Linked DNA regions of Mus musculus: all the other regions are reported to be linked to region 3. The links are microRNA targets in miRTarBase. Many come from high-throughput screens and were not tested one by one. Region 3 holds a microRNA gene; each other region holds the end of a gene's coding sequence. Distances are between the middles of the regions.

Region 1 (3,164 bases), not on the chromosome of region 3:
AAATAGTTCTTGCACTTTAAAGGCATTCTGCATATTCCCACTGGACTTTGCAACATCTTCCATATAAATTAAATGACAATACATGTCATAAAACTCCAACTTTAGTCAGAAAATAATTATTAATATTATAATGGTACTCATACAACAGATAAAGGCAGTGCAATCCTTAAGACAGGTTTTAACCATTAACTTCGGACTCCCCCATGTTCATCAAGTGGACTTGTGCAAGTCACTGGGTTAGTATTTGCTTAGCAGAACTGTGAAGTACAGGTAATAAGACAAGGTCAGCTTTCATCCCTGCTACAAGGCTATGTGAAGGAGGAATATCAAAACGTGGGCTAGGTAATTAAAGGTGCCATTTAGAATACACTAAACCATGTCAGCTATGATTTTACTATGAAAAAATATGACAGTGATAGACGTTACTATAAAACACTAGCAAGCTTTATAGTTTGTAAGTGCTGTGTACACAAATAATATGTTTAACAAAAATGATAACATTAACCACATTCTGTTATATAGACTGGATCCTTAAAATACACTAATTTATAAATACTGAAAAAGCAGATAATATGCCCAGGCAATATAATCATAAAACCTTCAGAAGGAAAGAATGTTTTGTGGACCATTTGTGTGTGTGTGTGTGTGTGTGTGTGTGTGTGTGTGTGTGTGTGTGTGTGTGTATGGCAGTTTTAAGTTATTAGTTTTCAAAATCAGTATTTTTTTAATGGAAACAACTTGACCAAAAATCTGTCACAGAATTTTGAGACCATTAAAACAAGTTTAATGAGAAAAAATAAAATAAGCTTGCTTCGTAGCCCTTCTGTTCCTCTATGGAGACTTAGTGAGGCTGGTGAACACAGAAGAGTAAAGCAGTGTGAAGGGTCTGCCTAGTCGGGCAATCAGCTCTCCTTACGCTCAAGACTTTCAGAGAAGGCAGCCTGAACTACCAGAGCTTCACACTTATATGCTGATGATAGCAAAAATATTAATCCTGAAAGTTATGGATGTATGTCACATATATGCAAACGTAGGTCATATCTTTATTAAATTCAAAATGCTAAGGCTTTTTTTTAGAAACTAATGTTGGTTTCTCTATGATTAGTCACAAATAGATTTACTGAAAAATCTTATGTACTCTGTGATGAATAATTTTCACTCTTAACTTGTAGGATATATGTATCCCATACCTTTGAAGCACACTTTTAAATTCAATATATCACTGGCAGTAATGATAGCTTTTAATGATAGTCTGAAATTCATTATGAGATTTATAAAGTAAAGCTGAATAATGGTTTGCCAAACCTGTAGTTAAAGTAAGGAATTCATGTGCTTAGCCCATATCCACACACAGTTCTGTGCTGTTAGAGGTCTTTGGGCCAGTGATGCACAGCCTATAGGAAGTGGTTCCATAGGTCATAGTGTCTGAGGCCACAGTCATCTCAGCTTGTGTAAGTACACCCCATGACATTTATACGATGATAATATCACCTAAAGGCACAATTTATTCCTGTCATTAAACAAAGCACAACTATCATAATCACAGTGATGCTGTTTTAATTATTTGTAAAGATATATATTTAAAACCAATATTAATATATTTATGTGCTAAAATAATTTTAGTATATTAACACAGAAGTGATAAATATTGCATATACTTTAGAATGAATACAGTCTATACCTTGGTTCCATAAATTATCAAAGTTTTTCTCTAATGACCTTTTGAAGTACAACAAATAAATCTATTTTCATATCTTACACATATAACTTGATAGAAAAATTCTCAGGAAGGTGTGTTATTTTAACAGTCTGACATTTCATAGTAAGACTTCATATAATTAAGAATTTATCTTTCTCTGGCAAGGGGTGAGTGGTCAATACATGTATTATTTTCCATCCTCATTCACTCCTCTCTCTCCAACCTAGCAACTTCCTACCCACCGCCATCAGTGGTCCATCACGCAGCACTCATGGCTCATTGGAAAGATCAAGAAAAGCACCTGCCTACTGGAGTGTTTACAAGACCAGAGACTAGACATAACAAAAGGGAAAAAGTCTTGCCAGAACCTCTGAGCTCTCTTTGTTACCAGGAAGCCCAAGAAGAAAGGGAGGCAGGTACTTCCCTACCTCTCATATGCGCCTTTCTTGGTGACTCAAGTGGTATATGGGACACCTGTAACTCCTCATCTACACTGTCCTTAACGTTTCTGTATGATTGTTTCCAGAGTGTGGTCATCATTTTTAGGACAGACTTCTTCAAGAAAAACTATCAAGTATAATATCTGTCCATTGGGGAAGCTAAACACAAATACAATATAATTAATGAATGAGAAAGGAACCAAAATAGTTAATCTTTTATCTCTGTATATTTTTCTACAAATACGAGAAGTGAATTTTGCCCTAATGTGAATCTGTATTCTTAATGTATAGAGTGTAAGGCTGAACTGTCTGAAGGAACTTCTAGTTCCAGCATAAATGTCCAAACCAAACATCAGTTATTTACATCATGGGAAAACTTTAAATCTTTAATTTGCATCTCTTTGTCTTCGGTGGAGAATGTTAATTTGGGCAGCATCTGGAAGCATCTGTCCCATGGCACGTGGAATGCTCATTCTTCTCCTACTGGAGGTGGTGGCTCGCAGAGCTTGTACAGCCTAGAAAGGACACAGGACAGCATAACAGTCACTTATAACACCACTCTTACCTGAATATTTTTTATTGGTAGAACAAATACATCAACACTAATTTCTTGGCTCCATCAGCCATCACTACACTGATTATACTGTAGAAAATAGCATCTGAATCAGCTTAATCTAGTTTTGGTCCTGTGATTTCGAAAATGCTTCTCTTTCTTTGTGCATGTTTAGAAGGCTGATCATTTAACAGTGGTTCTCAACTGGCCTAATGCTGCAACCGGCTAATACAGTTCCTCAGAGTTTGGTGACCCCTAATCATAAAATTATTTCACAGCTACTCCCTAACTGTGATTTTGTCACTGTTATGAATCATAATGTGAATATCTAATATGCAGGAAATCTGATATGTGGGTCTTTGAAATGGTCAATTGATCTCAAAGTGACCCACAGGTTGAGAACTTGCTGTTTTAGAAGCTGTTGATTTGCTCTAGTCTGTCTGTTTACTTTGCTGGTAGTAATATCTCTTCC
Region 2 (3,164 bases), not on the chromosome of region 3:
ATGCTCCCGAGAGACTTGAGCAAGTGCCGTTCTCTGAGATGCTCAGCCTGAGTCTGCAGGGCTGACAATCTGCACCCAAAATCCATACTACCAGCTACTCTTAGGAACCTAGGGCGTTCGGCAACCAGGCTACCTTCTGAGACAGAGCATCACCTGATAGACATGCTTCATTTTCTAAGTTTCAACACCCTAGTCCCGCTCTTGTCCTGCCAACGCCCACTATGGGTCTCTTGCTCAGTATTTCCCCATCTCTATCGATATCATTACTCTCCTCGCCTCCCTAACTGGTTTTGTGGACCCTGGTGGTATCAGCTAACCAGTACCTTCTAGACTGCAGGCCGAGGTCCAATTGTGGATTTAGCCAGTGTTCCCCTTGGTTTCCGACCTGTGCTGTCATGGAGCCTTCCAGATGGGACCTCTGGTTCCCAGTTGGCTTTCCCACCTGGCTGGTGTCTACCCAAGTCTACTGTGACTCAGAGAGATCAGAAATCAGTAAAGGACTTGCCCTGGGTGCTTGGGAGATGGCACAAGCAAAGGGAGACTGTGGCCCAACAGGAAGGCCAATCAGAGAGCACAGAAATGGGAAAGGTGTGTTGGCTGGCCCAGAGACGGAGCATGGGTAACAAGAGAACTTGCAAATCCGGGGCCTGGGCTGGAGAGGAGGGATGGGGAGGTGAAAAAGTTGGGGGTTCAAGGGAAACCTTGAGAGCTGAGGTAGAGGCCACAAAACTCGGGTGACCCATAACCTTCTGACCCTTCTCACATGGCAATGTGGAAGAAGTGACGTCTCAGCTCCAAGGTCCTCTCGTCTTTCCTTGGTCGCCTGCTGCAGCCATGACTAGGTGCCCAAGGCAAGACCCTCAGAACCACAGCTCTGAGTGGGCAGAGTGAACCAACTCCCCAAATTGGGTATGACAAGGAGGCTGCAGGCCAGGGGCCCTGCCAGAAGCTGGAAGCTGTACCCGGTATGGGAAGAGGAGCCTGCCTTGGGAACGGGGGTCCTGCATCACTCTTTTCCCACCTGGAGTATCAACAAAGGGGTGGGCGGGTCTGGCCCTTTGAAAGGGGCAGTGTATTAATACCCAAATATCAGCCACCTTCCTTTCTTCCCCATCAAAGCCTTGCAGACACCTGGGTCTGCATTAGAAAGGCTTAGGGCTCTTTCATGTGTTGAGGCCCTGCAGGAAGCGGGTGAGAACACCGGGAGATTCCTCAGCTTAGAAAACCCAAGCTCCAGCCTCACTTGCAGGGATACTCTGGGGTGGTGGTGAAGGCCGCCAAGACCTGCTACCCTCCCCGCTTTGGGCAAGTATCTCTCCTCGGGGGCTCCGTTTGTCTTTATGTAATCGGGAGACTGAGCACTTTCTAGGGGTCCAGTGTTTCTCCAGAGACATTACAAAAAACGAGCACCAGAAGTCAGGATCGCAAGAAACAGGAGCGGCCAGCCCTGGGCCCCTCCTCTGTCCAGTGGGAGCTGGCAAGCACTCCGCGCCGCCCACTGTGCCTTTTGTAGCAGAGTCAGGTAAAGATGACGATGCCATTTGGGATTTATTGACAACCTACCAGAAGAACACAAATGGGCTGGGGAGAGGCCAGGAGAGAGGTCACTCTTAGGTCATATGCTGCATGAAACGTGCCCTGCTCTCCTGGGGAATGCAGTGCGTGGGCCACACCTGAACAGCATCTCGCAGGGACCCAGGACAGAGGCTGCCCCCTGTCAGGTGCCCTGCAGCATCAGGATGTCCGACGTGTGGACCACCTCAGAGTCTCGGTAGCCATTGTTATTGGAAGCCACAGCGGCAAGGGAGAAAACTCTCATTTCTCATTCCTATCCCCATGGTGGGAGCTCTTCAGGACGCCTGCCAGCCCAAGGATGGTATCCAAACGGTGAAGGGTGGGCTCTACCCACTCCCACCCAAGCATCTAACTCCAGCCATTAGTACCTCTCTCCTGTCCTCCACAGTCCTCCCACCTCTATACCTGTCCCTAATCCACCCCCAAACAGACCTAAAATGCTATACAGTGCCATGCAAGTCCCCCCACCCTGCCTTTCTGGCTCCCCCTCCCTGCTAATAGTCCTCATTCCCTCTTATAACCTGGGAGCATCAGCATCTCCAGCCACTCCTGGTCTCTGCTCTGGCAGATTGGGCCTCCTCCTGGCCCAGCGGCAGCTCTGACCCATAAGCCTTCCCTCCTGCATGTTCTGCAATCTTTCATCTCTCTCAGCCCCCAAAGCTCCCACCTCTTCTGGAAAAACTGGCCTTAACATAGGAACCCACAGAGACTTTTCTGCCCAATTCACTCCCTGGCTCTCTCTATCCAGGACCTTGGGACTCTCCAGCGTTCCACTACCCTGACCCCGGGGGTTTAAAGTTGGCTTGTATGGAAATGTATCTTGTCAAAATGTCTGAACAATGATATCAAACATGGTGCTTGCTCCCCCCAAAGAGAAAGGGAGTTGGCTGGCTGGAGGCTTGGGAACAGGTCCTCTTGGGCATGTGACTTTGGTCCAGACCTTCTCTCCCTGGCTTCAACACATCCCTCACAAACCAAGGGCTGAGCTGGATCATTTCAGCTTTGAATGAGTTACCTAGTGTATGTATGTCCATCTAGATAGAGGTTCCAGGAGATGTAGAGGCCACTAAGAGGGACTTATGCTGGGGACTGTCGTTGCCACGGCAACCTCCCATTGCCTGTCAGAATCCCCTGCAGGCCACGGAAGGGACTGTGAGGCCCCGACCAGCCCTCCTATTTGGTGGTCTCTGGCCTCACATCATAGACTCCTCCTCCTCCTCTGCGATCTCACGGTCCACCTCAATGGCCGTGTTCTCGAAGCTGGTGATGCCCCCGTATTTGCGCATGTGTACCATCAGTGGCTTTGGTGACTGGCTCCCAGCCAGTGTGGCCACATACATTCCCGTCCGGTTCTCTTCCAGAGATGGGCCCCAGTCCATAGCAGGCCGACTGGCTTGCTGAAGTCTCTGCAGTAAAGCAATGATAATGGACACTGAGCATTTATCATGGCCAGGTACCCTGCAAAGACCTGCCTATGCCCAGTGAGAATCTGCTCTGCCACTTTGGGACTGGTGGCCTCCAGGCACCATCTGTCAACTCCACACTGGGGCACGTAAAGAGGACATGACTATTTAGTTTTGGGAATAGCG
Region 3 (3,164 bases):
TCTCCTTGAAAATTGGCAAGTGATATTCATGTTAAGTGAAAATAGACACAAAGGTATCAACATATTCTTTTCCTGAGTTTTGTTTTCACAATCTTCTGTTAAATAAAGAAAGTAAGACCTCTCTCTCTCTCTCTTTCTCTCTCTCTCTCTGTGTGTGTGTGTGTGTGTGTGTGTGTGTGTGTGTGTGTGTGTGCGTGTGTGTGTGTGTGTGTTTGTGCATGTATGTGTGCGCATGTGTTTACAGGAGTGGGCTCAACAAATATGTCAAAGTGAATAAAGTTGTTTGCATTAATATGAGCTTGCCATGATTTTACTCTTCAGACCTGAGCATAATAAAGGGACAAGTCCCTGCCATATATCAATCTATGACATCAAAGACAAGTTGGATTCTTTTTTTTTTCCATTTTTTATTAGGTATTTAGCTCATTTACATTTCCAATGCTATACCAAAAGTCCCCCATATCCACCCACCCCCAATCCCCTGCCCACCCACTCCCCCATTTTGGCCCTGGTGTTCCCCTGTACTGGGGCATATAAAGTTTGCAAGTCCAATGGGCCTCTCTTTCCAGTGATGGCCGACTAGGCCATCTTTTGATATATATGCAGCTAGAGTCAAGAGCTCCGGGGTACTGGTTAGTTCATAATGTTGTTCCACCTATAGGGTTGCAGATCCCTTTAGCTCCTTGGCTACTTTCTCTAGCTCCTCCATTGGGAGCCCTATGATCCATCCATTAGCTGACTGTGAGCATCCACTTCTGTGTTTGCTAGGCCCCGGCATAGTCTCACAAGAGACAGCTACATCTGGGTCCTTTCAATAAAATCTTGCTAGTGTATGCAATGGTGTCAGCGTTTGGATGCTGATTATGGGGTGGATCCCTGGATATGGCAGTCTCTACATTGTCCATCCTTTCATCTCAGCTCCAAACTTTGTCTCTGTAACTCCTTCCATGGGTGTTTTGTTCCCAAATCTAAGGAGGGGCATAGTGTCCACACTGGGATTAAAGGAGTATATCAGCACTCCTGTCAAAAATTTTTAATTAAAAATAGATTGGTTGATTGCACATGGGTGTTTTCCTGCATTTTTGTATGTCTGTTCAGCACCTGCATGCCTGGCACATGTAGAGGATAGAAGAGAGCATGTGTCCCCTAAAACTGGAGTCAAAAATAATTGTGAGTTACTTTGAGTGCTGTAAGTTGAACAAAGGTCTTCTAGAAGAGCAGCCAATGCTTTAACTAATGAGTCATCTCTCCTGATCCAGATTTTATTTCATTTTTTATTATGCATATACTGTGGGAGCTTGTGTATGGATCTGTACACACAAATGCAGTGCTCTCATTAGCCAGAAGAGGGCACAAGAAACCCTAGAGCTCCAAGCTTAATGGCAGGATTGTAGAAAATATATAGATTAGTCTAATTTACACAATGAATTCCCATCCAGCCAGAGTTACATGGGTAGACCCTGTCTCAAACAAATAATTATGTATGCTGAACAACCTCCAAATTGACTAGAGTGAATACCTTAAATTGATTCAGTAGCTAAAAGGGTTTGTCAGGTCCATCTCTTTATTCTGCCCCAAAGGAAGAAACATAAGCAGTCCCGTTGACAATTTAGCTGGGCACTGGAGAGATGGATGGCTTTGTGGTTCAGAACATTGGCTGCTCTCTTCGAAGCACCTGGGTTCCATATCCTGTACTGACATCAGGTGGCTAAAACCATCTTTAACTCTACTTCAGAGAAACCAACATCCTCTTGATCATCTTGAAGCACCTGCATGCTGTAGTACACATACAAACACAAGCAAATACATACATGTATGCATAATATATACATGCAATATGCATACATGCACATGCACATGCACACATACATACATACATACATATTCTTTAAATTTAGCTCTAGGGCCTGGCATGGTGGGACATGCTGTTAATGCCACCTCTGTGAGACTGTGGCCAGGCAATTCTACATAGCAAGTTCCAGACTAGTCAGCTTCATAGTGATACCCTTTCTCAAAAACAAATCAATTAGCTTTTGCACATGCATGCACTTGAGAAATTGAAGTAGGAGGGTCAGGAGTTTGGGGTTCATCCAGGCCTACATGAGATCTCCACCAAAAAACAAAATCACTTTAGCCAAAATGATTAAATTGTGAGGTGTGCAACAGTATATATGACACACAAAGATGCATGAGCTTATGTACAGGAAGAGAGCAGAAAGGACACTGAGTGGCCTGCTCTATCATTCTCTGCTTTTTCCCCAGGCAGGATCTCTCACTGTACTTAGAATGGGGCCCCAGTGTTCTTCTGTTTCTGTTCAATAGCACTGGGGATATTGGGCAGCACATACTTTTTCATGTGGGTGTTGGGAAGCTGGACACAAGTCCCTAGCTTGTGCAACAAGTGCTCTTACCCACTGAGCCACCAGGAAATATGTAGTAGATTTTTTTTTAAATTTAATATCAAAGCGAAAAAGTCTGCATGATTAAAACTAAAGCCCTCGTAGCATGGTGGTATATATCTCAGCTGAAGACAGAAGAAAGACTGTAAAACTCGAGGCCAGCATGAGCTATCTAGTAAGTTCTAGACTACCCAGAACTACCTTGTAAAACTACATTGCAAAACACAAAGACAGTGAAATAATCCATTATCAAGTATTGCAGAGAAACCCAGCTTTCCAGCGTGGAAGTGGAAAGAGCCATCTGGGACAAAGTCTGCATAAAAAGACGACTGCACAAAACATGGGGAGCAGATTTTCTAGCTTGCTCTTGCTGCAGGGGGCCTTCCTAGAGGAAACCAATTGTTCCTTCTCCATGGAGAAACTCAGATCCATGAAAGTGGGGCAACGTGACTCTGTAATCTTATATTATCCATATTTCATGATACAGGAAGGACTATGTGCCTCATAGACCTAAATTAACACGAACAAAGAAGAGATTAGAAATTGCTTCTCCCTTGCTATGGAAAGAGACAGCATTTCACAGGGCCATTTATTGTCACAGTAACAAATGTTAACTTTGGAACTGGAGAGATAGCTCAGCGGTTAAGAGTACTGACTGCTCTTCCAGAGGTCCTGAGTTCAAATCCTAGCAACCAAATGGTGGCTCACAAACATCTGAAATGAGATCTGATGCACTTTTCTGGTGTGTCTGAAGACAGCTACAGA
Region 4 (3,142 bases), 71 Mb from region 3:
TGTGATGCTGACTCAGACTGCAAAGGACAAGAACCCAGTGCCCACAGGGTGATGGTGATGAGCTTCCCTCGGTAGTGTCCTAGCTCATCTAAGGCTTGTTTTATTTGCTTTTTTTTTTACAGACCTAACTACCGTAATGAATGCTGCATATTGAGAGACACCACAAGAAGGTTAACTGTTTGATTGTCTAATTCTTGGATTTGGATTTGATATGAACCAACGGTCTTTGTTGTCATTGACAGAGCCCCAGTATGTGTGTGCATTAGTCACATTCCTCTCTGTTCTGTTGAAGGAAAAAGAGACATTTTAACCCTTTTAAGGTTGACTTTATTTTATGTTATTTGGTTGCATGAAGTTGCCCTTAATCACTAAGAATGATGAAGATTTTGCAGACTTCTCTGTGTCTAGGCTCCTTTTCCAAGTCATCAGCTTCCTGCCTCTCTCCCACCATCATCAGATACTCAGCTAAACAGTAATTCATATTGTTAGGTGACTGCTCAACATAATACTTCAGGATGGGATTTTCTTTGTAGCAGAACCCAAGAACCAACTCCTAGATACATACTGTTGGTGTATTGGAGATGAAGTTAGAGTCATCTTTCAGTTTTAAGGCCATGTGTAAAGTTTAACCATATGTACAATACCTATTCTGTATTAGAAATAGCTAGTTGAAACTTAATACTTCTCAAAACTCATGTTCCTGTGTCCACAAACTAAGTTTATATGTGAACTTACTGAGTCTTTTTGTGTCATACCAAAATAAAGCAAGGACTTATTTTTTTTCCCAAAGCCAATACAATTTGAGCCAATCCCTCAAGATGGTCACTTTACACTGAAAGCTGAGCTCAGCAGGAGCACTGTGGGAAACAAAGCATTGACTCTTGAGTACAGAGTTTAAAATAGACTTTTCTTTTAGAACTAGAATTAGAGTAGTTAACGTTCATCCGCCAACCATTGTTACGTGTGCATTACTGTCGCTCTTGTGGTGATAGAGTCTTATTTATTTTTATGCCAGCTTATACTGTGAGAACTCATTAGTCAGTTTGGGTCTCATCAACCCTGCTATGCTTGTCCTTGGAAGATCTTTTGTGTGTGTTTGAGGTTTGTAGCTGAGAAGTTTACTGTAAAAAAAAAAAATCAAAAACAAAAAAATGTATTGTTTTTACAGAATAAATTTATTGGAATGTGTACTGGGAGTAAGGTTTGAGGTTATAAACAGCCGAGTTAGTGTTATTTGGCTTCATATGTGTAATGTGAAGTATTAATGTGTTTCTTGTATTATAGCAAAGATTGACAGCAAATTGACATTAGAATTAAGTGCAGGTGAAAATTTTATTTTTTCTATCATGTTTCTTTTTAAGTATTCTGGATGTTAGGTTAAGTGAAAGCCGTGGGGGGACAGGAGGGAGCAACAGCAGGAGCTGCAGCAGCAGGGGCTGTCTGCACGTCTGCGACAGCCCAGCTCAGGGGACCCTGCATTTACACACAGCCTTCCGTGCATCCAGTTTGCTTTTGGTGTTCTTACTGTGTTGAAGAACTAATGAACGTGAAGAGAAAATAGAAGAAGACCTAAGAGCCCAGTGTCGTTGTGAAGATGGAGGTGATGTGGGGCTCTGGATGCACTGGTCTACTCACCCCTCCCTCCAGGACATCACTGTCCTTTGGGCTTGCTCCTGCCGGTTAGCAATCAGTGGTCCCCTGTTGTGCTCACGCAGTTCCATGTATGGAAAATTCATTAAGAGACAGGCTGTTAAGTCAGGGTTTTTTCTTTAAAAGGTACTTTTTAATTTTAAATATTTTAGTTTAAAATAATGAAATTTGACAAAAGATCTCTTCATTATCATGCAAAACATATGGAGAATGTAGATAGCATTTTTAAATTGGAACATATAACAAAGGTTTTTTTGTTTGTTTGTTTGTTTGAGGCAGGGTTTCTCTGTGTAGCCCTGATTATCCTGGAACTCACTCTGTAGACCAGGCTAGCCTGGAACTCAAAAGATCAGCCTGTCTCTGAATCCCAAGTGCAAGGATTAAAGGCGTGTGCTACCACTACCTGGCACAGATTTCTTAAATAAAAAGTTCAAAATTTGTCATGAAAATGTATATATAAAATGCTTCAAAATTAATAAAGTTTATCTTCATAAACACCAAAAATAATTTTATTGAAGGTATACACAGTATTGAAGGTATACACAGAAACACAAGAGAAATATTATCAACCAATAAAACAAGTGTTCATTAAGGCAACTAATAAAGTTGATTTGTGTCATCTTAGCTATTCAAATTCACAATAGAAGTTTTGACAGCAATTTTTAAAATGGCAATAAATAATATGCTTTCCTTGTGAAAACACTTGAATCAATTTAAAAATATTGTGATGATCTGGCATTTATATTAAGATTGTCAACAACTCATACATTTCATATGAAGCCATTTCTCCAACCTGCAATTGCTGTTTTGAATTATTTCTTATGCATAGTATGGTTAGTTACTTCTGAATAGTTTCATTTTTATGCTTTTTGTAGGCACTAGAGTTGTAATTTTCACACATACTATGTGCAAACAATGCTAAAATCAATGGTCACATTCATAGACAAATGGTGATATATTTCCTTAAAAAAGCTGTTTCTCAACTTTAATTTTCTTTCAAAACTGAGAATATACCCAGATACTACCCTTAGTTTCACTCACATGTATGCTGCAGAACAAGTGTGTTCTTGTGAGTATTCCTGTATGGAGGGGATAAAGGAGAGCGCCAGTCCCATTAACAGGTCAGAGAGAACTGTGAGGTATGTTTGTTTATTCCAACTTCTCATCTGCCTTAGTTCTTAGGAAGAACTCGGGATTGTAGGTACAACGGTAGGCCAAGAGCTGAGGAAGAACTCCATATGCTATGTTTAGTGCTAGAAAAAAGATTTTCGCTTCTTCGGGGACTCTGTAGACATAAGCAGTTCTAGCATGAAGGGACGCACCAATGTGAGAAAACTGAGCCTGTTTATATTAAAACAAAACAAAAAAACAGTAAGGATGAGCTCTGTTCACTTGGATTAATGATGAATTCTGAGTGTCTCATTCAGACCATGTGCCCTCAAAACCTGTCTTAAAGGCAAAATACCTTTAGGTAATCCAGTCTTAATATATA

What was found. The annotated mature microRNA mmu-miR-297a-5p reads AUGUAUGUGUGCAUGUGCAUGU and lies in region 3 at 1,850-1,871, opposite strand. An mRNA with a match to its seed (bases 2 to 7 or 8) in the 3' UTR can be bound and repressed. Matches are read on the target gene's strand: a 7mer-m8 pairs with bases 2 to 8, a 7mer-A1 pairs with bases 2 to 7 and ends in A, and an 8mer does both.
Region 1: miRTarBase lists Prex2 as a target of mmu-miR-297a-5p. Seed matches in the 3' UTR shown: 7mer-m8 at 1,009-1,015.
Region 2: miRTarBase lists Slc6a7 as a target of mmu-miR-297a-5p. Seed matches in the 3' UTR shown: 7mer-m8 at 2,599-2,605, 7mer-m8 at 2,595-2,601 and 7mer-A1 at 2,379-2,385.
Region 4: miRTarBase lists Tm6sf1 as a target of mmu-miR-297a-5p. The part of its 3' UTR that is shown has no 7-base or 8-base seed match.

Annotation. Positions count from the first base shown.
Region 1 is chr1:11,297,198-11,300,361 of GRCm38, reverse strand. Prex2 (phosphatidylinositol-3,4,5-trisphosphate-dependent Rac exchange factor 2) reads right to left here. Exons shown (of 40, transcript NM_029525.1): 40 at 1-2,654. The coding sequence ends at 2,609. Among named protein-coding and RNA genes, the nearest start is that of A830018L16Rik, 120 kb to the left of the region's middle.
Region 2 is chr18:60,993,851-60,997,014 of GRCm38, forward strand. It overlaps Slc6a7 (solute carrier family 6 (neurotransmitter transporter, L-proline), member 7), which reads right to left. Exons shown (of 14, transcript NM_201353.1): 14 at 1,530-2,981. The coding sequence ends at 2,769. Among named protein-coding and RNA genes, the nearest start is that of Gm46632, 15 kb to the left of the region's middle.
Region 3 is chr7:10,956,628-10,959,791 of GRCm38, forward strand. It overlaps Mir297-1 (microRNA 297-1), which reads right to left and starts at 1,885; the gene lies at 1,810-1,885.
Region 4 is chr7:81,883,064-81,886,205 of GRCm38, reverse strand. It overlaps Tm6sf1 (transmembrane 6 superfamily member 1), which reads right to left. Exons shown (of 10, transcript NM_145375.4): 10 at 2,127-2,991. The coding sequence ends at 2,800. Hdgfl3 (HDGF like 3) reads left to right here. Exons shown (of 6, transcript NM_013886.4): 6 at 123-3,142. The coding sequence ends at 128. Among named protein-coding and RNA genes, the nearest start is that of Tm6sf1, 26 kb to the right of the region's middle.